Linked DNA regions of Struthio camelus. The protein of the gene in region 2 purifies or fractionates together with the protein of the main gene of each other region. This does not show direct contact. Links are inferred from orthologs where the notes say so. Each region holds a gene or a part of one and is shown on either strand. Other genes may lie near its edges.

What was found.
Region 1: the proteins of ATXN2L (region 2) and G3BP2 purify together in Homo sapiens (affinity purification with mass spectrometry; 4 studies listed by BioGRID and IntAct, counting the BioPlex papers as one, with this or other methods). This does not show direct contact. The link is inferred for Struthio camelus from reciprocal best matches to the Homo sapiens genes ATXN2L and G3BP2.
Region 3: the proteins of ATXN2L (region 2) and LSM12 purify together in Homo sapiens (affinity purification with mass spectrometry; 4 studies listed by BioGRID and IntAct, with this or other methods). This does not show direct contact. The link is inferred for Struthio camelus from reciprocal best matches to the Homo sapiens genes ATXN2L and LSM12.

Annotation. Positions count from the first base shown.
Region 1 is NC_090945.1:8,182,995-8,186,734, forward strand, and holds the start of G3BP2 (ras GTPase-activating protein-binding protein 2), read left to right. Parts: upstream 1-1,357; 5' UTR 1,358-1,625; intron 1,626-1,990; exon of another isoform or gene 1,991-2,113; intron 2,114-3,740.
Region 2 is NC_090973.1:104,283-108,022, reverse strand, and holds the start of ATXN2L (ataxin-2-like protein), read right to left. Parts: upstream 2,852-3,740; coding exon 2,828-2,851; intron 2,218-2,827; coding exon 2,075-2,217; intron 1,390-2,074; coding exon 1,353-1,389; intron 1,256-1,352; coding exon 1,199-1,255; intron 1,078-1,198; coding exon 1,006-1,077; intron 918-1,005; coding exon 767-917; intron 683-766; coding exon 558-682; intron 483-557; coding exon 391-482; intron 290-390; coding exon 86-289; intron 1-85. UniProt on the Homo sapiens protein: Involved in the regulation of stress granule and P-body formation.
Region 3 is NC_090966.1:4,695,880-4,699,619, reverse strand, and holds the start of LSM12 (protein LSM12), read right to left. Parts: upstream 2,535-3,740; 5' UTR 2,434-2,534; coding exon 2,313-2,433; intron 1-2,312. UniProt on the Homo sapiens protein: Nicotinic acid adenine dinucleotide phosphate (NAADP) binding protein. Confers NAADP sensitivity to the two pore channel complex (TPCs) by acting as TPC accessory protein necessary for NAADP-evoked Ca(2+) release.

The DNA.
Region 1 (3,740 bases), on a different chromosome or scaffold from region 2:
AGTAACACCTTAAGACAAAGGCAGTTTTGTTCCAGAAAACGCTTCGCCTGACACAGACTTCGGGGATTGCTGGGCGGCTTCTTTTCCTAGGATGCTTCTTTGTTGCAACCTTTACACATGCCCCCACAGAGTCCATACCATTTCCATTACTGAATACAAGTTACAGGTGGTGATTGTAACAGCTCTTGGGAAAATTGTACCTCCTGCCCTTGCCAGGGAGGATGGTTTAAAGTACTTTCTGAGGCCAGTGGCAAGCAGAAAAGACTTAACTCATCAAAAATGCTGAAGCTGGGCAACAGGCACCAAAAATCAAGGGTCTCCTTCTAAAAGACTGAAATTTTGATTGCCAAGCTCCTTACATCCAGAGCTTCAGTGAAAGAGGTGATTTGCTCCCAGAGTAGGTGTTGGCTGTGCCCTGGCACACACCCTCAAGTCTAGCTTGTCTTACCTTGGGAAGGAGGTACTGCAGAGGTAACTGTGTTTGCTGCTGGCCTACTGAGTTGATATTTGAATATTTGAACCTCAGAACTATTAGCTATTTTTTTAGTATACCTCAAATACACATACTGAAAAAGGGCTTCCTCAATTTTGCTGAGAAATCCTGAACTAAGCAAGCTATGAACAGGGGAAAGCTTCGCATGGGACACTGCTTTTAGTCCAACTTCATTTGCATCCTCTTATTTATTAGGTGGCTGGAGAGTCCTGCCAAATGCAAAACACTGCACCATTTAGCTGAAATCAGCCTCCAAAAAGAGAAAGGGGCCAACGGTGAAAACACCGGCGTGAACATAGCGAGCCTGACTGCCAACAAGCCCGCGCGCTGCTTAGCCGCACTGACACCAAGGACGCCCCCACCTCGACTCCACCACACTCGACAGCGCAGTAAGCACCTGCTGGAGAAACACACCCTTCTGATATTACTGCAAAACAGAAAAAAACGTAAGTCAAGCAGTACAAAGAACTCCTATAGCAAAGCCGCAGCAGCTGAGGAAAAGGCACCTCAGCGGCACTCGGGCGAACCATCGCTCGCCCCACCGCCTTCTCTGCCGCCCAAGAAGCCGGAAAGCGGTTGCCCCCGCGGGGGGCTGCGCGCCCCGAGCCCCGCCGCCCGTTGGGCCGCTAACGGTCGGCGCGCGCCCCGCCCACCTCCGTTCCGCCCCCGCGGGCTCGGCGGGAAGCCGGCGCCCCCCCCCCCCCGAACGTCACCGCGGCAAGCCACACGGGATTGGCGGAGAGCGCCCGAAAGGGGTTCCTGCCTGCTCACGCAGGGGCAAGACAGTACGGCCGGCGCGGCGGCGCATGCGCGCCCGCTCTCCTCCCCCTCCCTTCGCTTTTGCCCCCTCCCCTCTGCGCACGCGCGCGCACGCGCGCACGCACGGCCGCACGCGCGCACGGCCGCACGCACAGGCAGGCGCGCACGGGAGCCCCGGCCGCCCCTCCCCCGCCCGGCCGTGACATCGCTGCTGCTGCCGCCGCCGCCGCCGCCGCCGCGCCCCGATCGCCCCGTCCTTCCCCCCTCCCCCCGGCTGCGGCACCCGCCCGCGGACAGGCTCGCCGCGCCCGACACCGATCAGGTCCCGGGGGGGGTCGTGCCCCCGCCCCACACACCGAGACTTTTTCCCTGGGTGAGTGAGGGGCGAGCGGGGAGGTAGGCCCGGCGGCCGTTTAACGGTCGCGGCCGTTTAACGGTCGCGGCCCGCGCGCGCGCGCGCGGGGTCGGGGGGGAGGAAAGCGGCGCGGCGGGGCCCGGCTTCGCCCGGCGAGAGCCCTTCCCTGCCTCGGTGCGGCCCCGGCCCCGGCCCCGGGCCCGGCCGGCGGCGGCGGCGGCTCCCGGCCCGCCTCGTCGCCCGGTGCGCGGCGGGGGCGGCGGAGCGGGGCGCGGGGGGAGGCTTTTGTTCGCCGTCACCTTGGCGGTGCGTCGCCTCGGCGGCGCTCCCCCTTCCGCCTCGCCCCGGGCGCTGGCGGGAGGCGGGAGGAAAAAGCGCCCCCTCGGCCGCCGCTCCCAGGCGTGACGCCCCGGGCCCTGCGTTGCTTCGTGCTCTGCTGCAGCGTTCGTCCCTTTCATCCCTTCCCGTCGCTCGATTCGTGCGCTGCCTTCCGTGAGCCCCTAGAGGTATGTGGACTCCGGCGTGTACAGGATGCTGTTTCCCAGCCTCGTCTGTACTGCAGAAGCGACCTTAGTTTTTTATCCTCAGCTCACTGGGCTGCCCCTTTCCTTTTAGGGTTTGGTTCTGTGATAGCGTCACTGGCTTTAAAACCTTTTCCAGCCCAGGTCTTGCTAATTCCATGGACCGTGCCATTCTGTGCTCCCTTTTGCTCCAATCACACCCCGAGCTTTTCTGTTCTCACTCATAACATGGCTGAAGTTGCAAGCATCTTTTATTCTGCAGATCTAGATACCCTGAGCAGCCCTTTTGTGAGCGTCTCTTATTTCACGTCTGAGGTGAATATGGTATTCTCTGGCATTTCCTTCCCTTAATCCTGGATGGGTAAAGTAAAAGTCATTACAGTTCCAGAGTGGGTACATAGGAACGTCCTCTAGCATGAGTATTTTAACTTCCCTGGTTAGCTGAGTAACGCTTAGGATCTTGAGCGCTGTGCCAAGCACTGCTGCATGAAGGAAAGAACACTCTGTGGGATGAGAGAAGATGAGATTGTTGCTTGATCTGAAGCTAGACCGACTGACTCCAACCTGCAAGGTTTTTGATTGTAGCCTTCCATGTGGGTTTGGCAGTTCTTGAGCCCTCATTATATATTAGGCATTTCAAGTTCAGTGTACAAGCGTTCCTCTTCATTACAACAGGAAGTGTAAAGATACTAAAGCTAGTTTTCATCTCTTGAGAAACAGGATAAATTATTTTGTTCTTAGCGCAGTACTTGTGCAAGTCCACTACTTCTTATACTCAAGCTTCATATTTAAAGCCAGATCAGTGTCTTTGATCTGTAATTGGGTGGACCAGTAAAAAGAGAAAGACAACTTGTCATAGTAGGATGTTTGGGGCAAACATCCTACTAAAGCACTCACTGTTGCCTGAGGTATATCTTCTTTTCCTTTTTCTTGTTTCTTTTATTGCCAGTTTTAACTGGGGAGCACTAGTAAAGTAAGATCAGCTTGGTAGAAATGGTTACTCTGCAATTTAGGCTGCACTGTCCTACTCGATGGCCTGTAGGAGACTTAAAATGAAGTAATAGCAAGCAAGCACTACTCTGTATATCCAAGTCCCTGCGAGTAGCATAGTTGTGTTACCTCAGCTTGGTGAGTAGGTAAAGGGTTTGTCAACCTCCATTCTTAGCCAAGAAGGTGTTGTTACTGGCAACTTTTGCTTCTGGAGTTAATTTGTAATTAGCAAGACGTTCTCTGTTCATTCTGAACATAAGTACGCCTGCAGGGCCATATCTGCCTCTGGAAAGCTTTTTCATTCTTTAGGAAACATCCTTCTTCTGAACCTATTCCGGAAACTATTAGCTTGGGTTTAAGAAGTGTAATCCTTGTTTCCTGTTTTAAGTGTTCTTGTAATGTTCTAAGTGGTAGATGTGGGCTCACTGTATGGAATTATGATCCGTATCGTATGACTATTTTTCACAAGTAGAGTAAAATGTCTTCTATGATAGCTAACTTACTGGAGAGGGAAGTTACTGACCTTTCAACCCACTGATCCGCTGGTGTCCTTATAGGTAAACTGTTTGTATGGAGTTGAGATTTCAAATTTTACACCTGCTGTCACACTGGAAGTGTCTTA
Region 2 (3,740 bases):
CTGCGGAGAGAGGCGAGGGGCGCTCAGAGGGGCTGGGGGCGCTCGGAGGGGCCGGGGGGCGCTCGGAGGGGCCGGGGGGGCCGACCTGGCGGCGGCCAGGCTGGGGCTGTCGCGGCCGGAGCCCTGGCGCTGCACCGAGCTGTGCTTCTCCTCCTCCGTGCGCCCGTCGTCGTTCTCCATGGCGATGCGGAGCCGGTACTGCGGGCTCGACTCGATCTCCCGCGCCAGCTGGGCCGCCCGGGCCTCCCGCTGCCGAAACTCCTCCGAGTTGTCCTTCTCCAGCGGCACCCTGCGGGGGGGGGCCCGCGCGGCGTCAGCCCGGCCAGGGGCTCCCCGCGGCGGCGGCCGGACCCCCTGCTCCCCCCGCCCCGGCCCTGCCGGCGCGCTCACGTGTAGGAGGAGAGGCTGCTGTCGTAGGTGGTCTTCACGCCGTAGGTCTCCTCGTTGAACTTGAACATCTCGTTGGGGTCCCAGCCGTTGGACTGCGGGAGGAGAGGGCTCAGAGGCCGCCCGCGCCGCTCGCCGCCCCCGCCCCGGCCCCCGCCCCGGCCCCTCACCATGTCCGAATCCAGGTCGTAGTCGTCGCTGTTGCTGTCGCCCCCCTCCCAGCGCTGCAGCACCTTCTCCTTGTGCTCCCCGTTCACCTTCGAGTTCATGGCGATGGCCGAGTCGGTGAACTTGTCTGCAGGGGGGGCGGGGGTGAGGCCTGGCCGTCGCCCGCCCCCCCCCCCCCCCAACGCGGCTCTACCGCCCCCTCCCCGCGCACCTTTCGTGGCGTAGTTGAAGTCCACGTTGCGGAAGTGCACCAGCATGACGTCGGCGGGTTTGAAGACCATGGTGTCCACGATGTCCTCGCGCTTGGGGCCGGAGGGCTGGTCGGGGTTGCGCCGGTGCACGGCGTCCACCGCCAGCTCGAACTGCGGGGACGGACGGACGGACGGGCGGGCGTCACGGCGGGGCCGGGGGCGTCAGCCCGAGGCCGGGGCCGCCGCTGCCCGCACTCACCTTGGAGCTCAGCGTCTTGAAGATGCCCTCGAAGGTGCTGCCGTTCTTCACCTTGACGTCGCAGGTGGAGCCCTGGGCGGGAGAGGGGGAGGCGATGGACCGCGGCCCGGCCCGGGCGCCCCCCAGCACCGCAGCTGCCCCCCCCAGCGCCGGGACCGCCCCCCCCAGCGCCGGAGCCGCCCCGCGGACTCACCACCACGGCCGTCAGGAAGTGCAGCATGCGGGAGTTGTTGTAGACGCCCTCGAAGACCTGCGGGGAGGGGGGCGGAGGGGTGAGGGGCTCCCCCAAACCAGCGGCCCCCGCGCCGCCGCCGCCCCCCCCCGCCCCGAGCTCGCTGGTCACTTACCGGCGCCTGGGGGGGCCCCTTCCCCGTGCTCTGGCCCCTGAAACGCAAATGAGGGATGTGCCGGGTCCCCGCAGCCCAGTGGGGCCGGGGGGGTGCAGCCTCCGGGACCGCGGCGCGGGCGGAGCCCGGACACTTGGGTCCCTGGTCCCAGTGATGGGGGGGCCCGGACACCTGGGTCCCTGGTCCCAGTGATGGGGGGGCCCGGACACCTGGGTCCCACTGATGGGGGGGCCCGGACACCTGGGTCCCTCTGATGGGGGGGGCAGACAGCTAGGCCCCTGGTCCCACTGATGGGGGGGTCTGGATACCTGGGTGCCACTGATGGGGGGGGAGTCCTGGACACCTGGGTCCTTGGTCTCCCTGATGGGGGGGGGCCCGGACACCTGGGTCCCTGGTCTCCCTGATGGGGGGGGCCCGGACACCGGGGTCCCCCTGATGGGGGGGGGCCCGGACACCTGGGTCCCTGGTCCCCCTGATGGGGGGGGGGCACACTGGCACTTGTGGCCCACCGGACACCTGGGCCCCTTCCACCCCCTTGGGGGAGGCCGCGGCGGGGGGGGGGGGGCGGGGGCGTCCACCCCCCCACGTGCCCCTTCCCCCCGCCCTGATTGGCCGCGCCGCCGGCCAATCAGCGCCGGGCTCCCTCCTTTCCCCCCTCCCAACCCCTCCAACCCCCCCCTCCAACCCCCCCCTTTCCCGGCCCGGCAGGACCCGGATGTTACCTGGTGCCGCCGCTTCCTCCGGCGCCTCCCCCCCCCCCCGCCGCGCCGCCGCGGGCCGCTCCGCCGCCGGGGCTGAGGCTGCCGTTAGGGCTGGCGGCGGCGGCGGCGGCGGCGGGGGGAGGCGGCGGCGGCGGCGGCGGGGCCTTGCGGGCGGCGGGCGGCGGCGCCGCGGCGGCGGCGGGGGGCTGCGGGGGCAGCGGCTGCGGCTGCTTCAACATGGCGGCGGCGGCGGCGGCGGCGCGGCGTCTCCCTCCCCCCCCGCCCGGGGGCGCGCGCGGGGCGGCGGCGGCGGGTGGCGGCGGCGGGTGGCGGCGGCGGCGGCGCGCGCGGAGCCGGGCGCGGCGGAGCCGACCGGGGAGGGGAGGGGAGGGGAGGGGGGGCCGGGGCGCCGGCGGCCGCAGCGCGCGCGCCTCCCCTCGCGCCCTGTGTCCCTCCGCACAATGGGCGGGGAGACACCGCGCATGCGCGCCGCGCCGGCTTTTCCCTCTTTTTCTTTTTTTTTAATAATAACCCTTCCCCGGCCTCTTTCGCTTTTTGCTCACGTGACGGCGGAGGAAACGCCCCCCCCCCTTCCAGCACCGGCTTCGCTCCACGCGCGTTTCCTCCGCCGGCAGGGAAAAAAAAAAAAAAAAAAAAGTAGTCCCCCCTCCCCTCCCGCCGCGCATGCGCGCCGCCGCCACAAAGGGCGCCGCTCCCGCCCCCTCCGCGCTGCGCATGCGCGGCCGAGGCTACCCGCCTGCCTTCCCCCCCAACCCGCAAAATCCGGCGGCCGCGCATGCGCGCGCCGAAGGGGGTGGGGGGGTGGGGCGCATGCGCAGTGCGTCGCCTCTCCTCGCGGCCGGGTTGGGGGGGGCGGAGGGGCACGTGAGGACACGGGCGCCTCCAGTGAGATCCCTCCGCCGGCCGCATCACAGCGGGGGGGGGGCGCGGGAACGAGTCCCGGCTCCTGCCTCAACCCCGCCGCCCCCCCTTTCCCCCCCCGGCGACTGTCGCCTCTCAGGTACCGGCGGGAAGAGAGGGTGTTGTATGTCGTCGTCCCCCCCCGCGCGGTGGGGTGACCGGGGTCTCCATGGCGACCCCCAGCGCTCGGGGTGGGGGGGGCGCTCTGGCCCCGCCCGCCGCTCCGCGCTAGAGTTTACGTCTCACGCAGGGCGACGCTCTAGTCCTCCACGCGCTGGCTCTATGGTGTTTACGTTAGTACGGAGCGGGGGCTCGATAGCCTCGCCTCTCTATGGTGGCAGCGGGCGGCTGAGACAGTCTAGGCGTGGAAGAAGCCGAACTGGCTCTCTATGGCTCTCTGGGGGCCCTCTGCCTGCCTCCGTCTTCTCAGCTTTATGGTTCTCCTAGAGCCGCTCTAGTTACCCTCAGCCTTCTGCTCTATGATCAGCGGGAGCAAGAGGCGCCGCCATCCCGTCTCTATGGTGAGCAGCCGGGGGAGGGGGGGGAGGGGGCGCTCTGGTCTCCTCGCCCTCTCTACGCTCCGGCGAAGAAGGAGGGGGGACGCTCTGCACCGACTTGCCCCACCTCGATGCTCCCGGGGCGGCCGCTCCGGTCAGTGCTGCCCCCTCCCCACGGTCACTTGGGGGCGCTCCGACCCCCCCGCGCCACCTCGGGAGGCGGAAGCGGAAGAGCGGCGAGACCCGGAAGCGGAAGCCGCCGGGTGTGT
Region 3 (3,740 bases), on a different chromosome or scaffold from region 2:
CTTGAGCCAGTCTGAGCAGCTGCTCAGGTGCAGACCTCACTAGCAAATGCCCTTCAATAATGGAGAGAAAACTCAGGATGCCCAAGGAACTCTGTGCAAGTCGGTCTCTTTCTTTGGACAGATAAGATGGAGCATCCCAACTTTAGAAGAAAGATCCAGACTTACAGCAAAGCCTGAATGGGAGCTCTCAGACTGCTACCTCGTCCCTCGGGCAGACCGTCAGCCTGATCCACCGAGCCAACCTGTGGGACATCTTTTAAGACTTTCCTACAGCATCCAGGCTCAGGGAGGTTCCCCTGTATGAACTGTACAACCACGTCCCAGGGTGAATTACAGTTCCTTTACTATTCACGTCCCTATTCCCTAGCACCCCTCCAAAATTGTAGCACTGTCCCAAGCACTCTCCAGGGCGCTTCCTGATGTCCTTCAGTATTTCTCTTAGCTGCAGTCTCCAAACACAAACCTCTCTCACTCCCTCCCCAACTCACTTCTTCCCTCCAGAACCAGCCGCTGGAGCCAACAAGCCACCTCAAGCACTTCTCCAGCCCACTTCCAACACCACTCCCTGGGCTGAGCATTGACCTTCATGAACTCTCTGCAGTTCCTCTGCTGTTTCATAACAGCCTTTGCCCTCACCATATTCGCAGGTTAAAAAGAAAAGTGCGTGCTTGTGCATGCGTGTGTGTGTCTATATATATTTTTAAATCCCCTGCCACTGCCTCTCTGCCTCTCCTCCATGCAATCCCAGGCCCCACGTCCCCTTCCCTCCCCCAACCGCATGGCATTTCTTAGGCCTCCACCCGCAATGACCCCACCACCACAGCCACTGTGCCTGGACATGCTGCGAGGAGCAGGCTCCGCTTCCTCACTGAACCCAGACAGCTTCAGCCTCCCCCTGAGCCAGTCCAAATTCAGACGCAACTCTTCCTTCAAGACACCCCAGTCCTAGAGCTCATCTCCTCCCTACCGGGCCCTTCTCTTCAGGGCTCTTCCTTTCCCCCAAGAGCCGTTCCCTAGCTCGCCCTGCCTCCTTTCTGACACCCCAGGGCACCTGGCCTGCCCCACAGCTGGCCATTTCCCACTCCTGAAAACACCCCCACTTCCCACACAACCCCCCCCCCAAGGGCTCCCCTCACCCACCTCCATTCCTCCCACGAGACCCCCTATAGCCCCCTCAAGGCTCCCCCAGTCACAAGACATCCCTCTGCCCTGCCACAGACCCTCCATCCCTCCCTATAAGGCTCCCTCCCAACCCCCCACAGCTTCAAGGCCTTGTCTTAAAGCTCCGCAGGGCTCCCCCCCCCCCCAACACCCCTATAGGATTCTCTATTTTCCCAGGCTCTTTCTATAGCGCTCTCCTCATACCCATTGGGTCTCCTCATCCTCCCCCCAAGACCTGTGCCTACTGTCCCATAGGGCTCCCCATCACCCCAAGCCTGCCCCTATAGGGCTCCCCTCACAGGACACCACCCCCCTGAACCCCACAGGGCATCCCTACCCCCCAAAGGACCTCACCATGCTGTCAAGGCCTCCCCTAAAAACCCCATAGTGCTCCCCCCAACCCTCTGTAGGGCTCCCCCCCATCTCCAAGCCACCCCCTTATAAAGGCTCCCCACCCCCTCATAAACCCCCCCTTAGGGCTCCTCACCCTCCCCAAACCCCTCTATAGGGCTCCTCACTCCCCCCAGAACCCCCCCCGGCCTCTTCACCCCACCAAGCATCCCTCTATAGGGCTCCTCCCCCCACAACGCTCCTACGAGACTCCTCACCCCACCAAGAGCCCCCCTTTAGGGCTCCTCACCCTCCCCAAACCCCTCTATAGGGCTCCTCACTCCCCCCAGAACCCCCCCCGGGCTCTTCACCCCACCAAGCACCCCTCTATAGGGCTCCTCCCCCCACCAAGAGCACCCCACAAGGGTCCTACGAGACTCCTCACCCCACCAAGAGCCCCCCTTTAGGGCTCCTCACCCCCTTCCTAAGACCACCCCCCCCTTAACGCTCCCCTCCCAGCCCCCACCCGGGCCGACCCATACCTCCAGGCCCTTCCCACACCCCCCCTCGTGGGGCTCCCCCCCGAGCCCCCCAGGTCCCGCCGACCCCCGCTCAACCACCCCCCGCCTCCCCGCCCCCCCTCCCCTCCTATAGCGCCCCCGCGGCTCCCCTACCTCCCCCCAGCACCTCGCCATGCCTCCCCTTAGACCCCCCCCCTTCCTCCTCCTCCTCCCCCAGGCGCCCCAGGCCCGGCCGGCACTGCCGGGCCCCGGCCACCCCGCCGCGCCGCGCCGCGCCGCGCCCGCGGGCCGGTGGGATACTGAGCGCCAGCATCTTGCTGGGGTAGTCGAAGGCGACGACCTCGCCCTGGAGGCGCTGCTCCTGGCAGGTGCGGCACGACACCTGGCTGCCCACACTGAAGTACTCGCCCGGGGCCGCCATCTTGTCTCAGCCCCAGCAGCGGCCGCCGCGGCTCGCCTCAGCCAGGCACGGCGCGGCGGGGCGGGGCCGGGCCGCGCGCCGCGCCGCGTCACCGCGCGCGCGCCGCCGCCGCCGCCGCGGGGCGGGGTGACCTTGCGGCAGGGGAGGGGGGGACCCGCGCCGCCGCCGCTGCCCCCCCCCTCCCGCCGCCGGGGCGCCGCGGCTCGCCGGGCTTCTGCCCGAGCCCCGCCGGGACCCGCGGCCGCGCCGCCTCCAAGGCAGCCGGGCACCGCGAAGGCGCGGCGCGGCGCCGCGTGTCCCTCGGGTCGCCCCGTAGCCGGCCGGCCGGCGCCGCTGGGGCTGCTGGGAAGTGTAGGCGGAAGGGGCGGGCGGCCGCGGCTGGCGGCGGGTGAGCGCGGGGGACGGACCGGGGCAAGAGTGGGGGAGGGGCGGGGGGCCGGGGGGCCGTTGGGCGGGAGGGGAGCAGCGGGGCTTGGGGGGGGGGCACTTGGGGAGGGGGGCAGCTGGGTGTGGGGGGCAGTAGGATTGGGGAGGGGGCAGCTGGGTGTGGGGGGGTCATTGGGGTGGGGAGGGGGCAGCTGGGTGTGGGGGGCAGTAGGATTGGGGAGGGGGCAGCTGGGTGTGGGGGGGTCATTGGGGTGGGGAGGGGGCAGGTGGGTGTGGGGGGGTCATTGGGGTGGGGAGGGGGCAGGTGGGTGTGGGGGGCAGTAGGATTGGGGAGGGGGCAGCTGGGTGTGGGGGGGTCATTGGGGTGGGGAGGGGGCAGGTGGGTGTGGGGGGGTCATTGGGGTGGGGAGGGGGCAGGTGGGTGTGGGGGGCAGTAGGATTGGGGAGGGGGCAGCTGGGTGTGGGGGGGCCATTAGGGTGGGGAGGGGGCAGGTGGGTGTGGGGGGCAGTGAGATTGGGGAGGGAGCAGTTGGATGTGGGGGGGGTCATTGGGGTGGGGAGAGACCATTGGGAGTGGAGGGGCGATGGGACTGGGGAGGGGGCAGCTGGGTGCGAGGGGGACCATTGAGGGGGGCAGTTGGGTGCAGGGGGGACCACTGGGGCTGGGGAGGGGGCAGCTGGGTGCGGGGGAGGCAGTAGAGCTGGCGTAGGGGCAGTTGGGGGGGGCTATGACAGGGGAGGGGCAGGGGCAGCTCAGGGGGGTGGCCTAGGTGACAGCCACCCCCCAGGGAGACTCCCCCCCCATCCCCTCCAAGGCAGTGACAGGCACTGGGACCTGCCCCCACTTACCTCTTCTGGGGAGGGGGCAGGGGACAGGCCACCCCGCCAGCCCTGTCCCCAGGAGGCTCTCACCAGCCAGA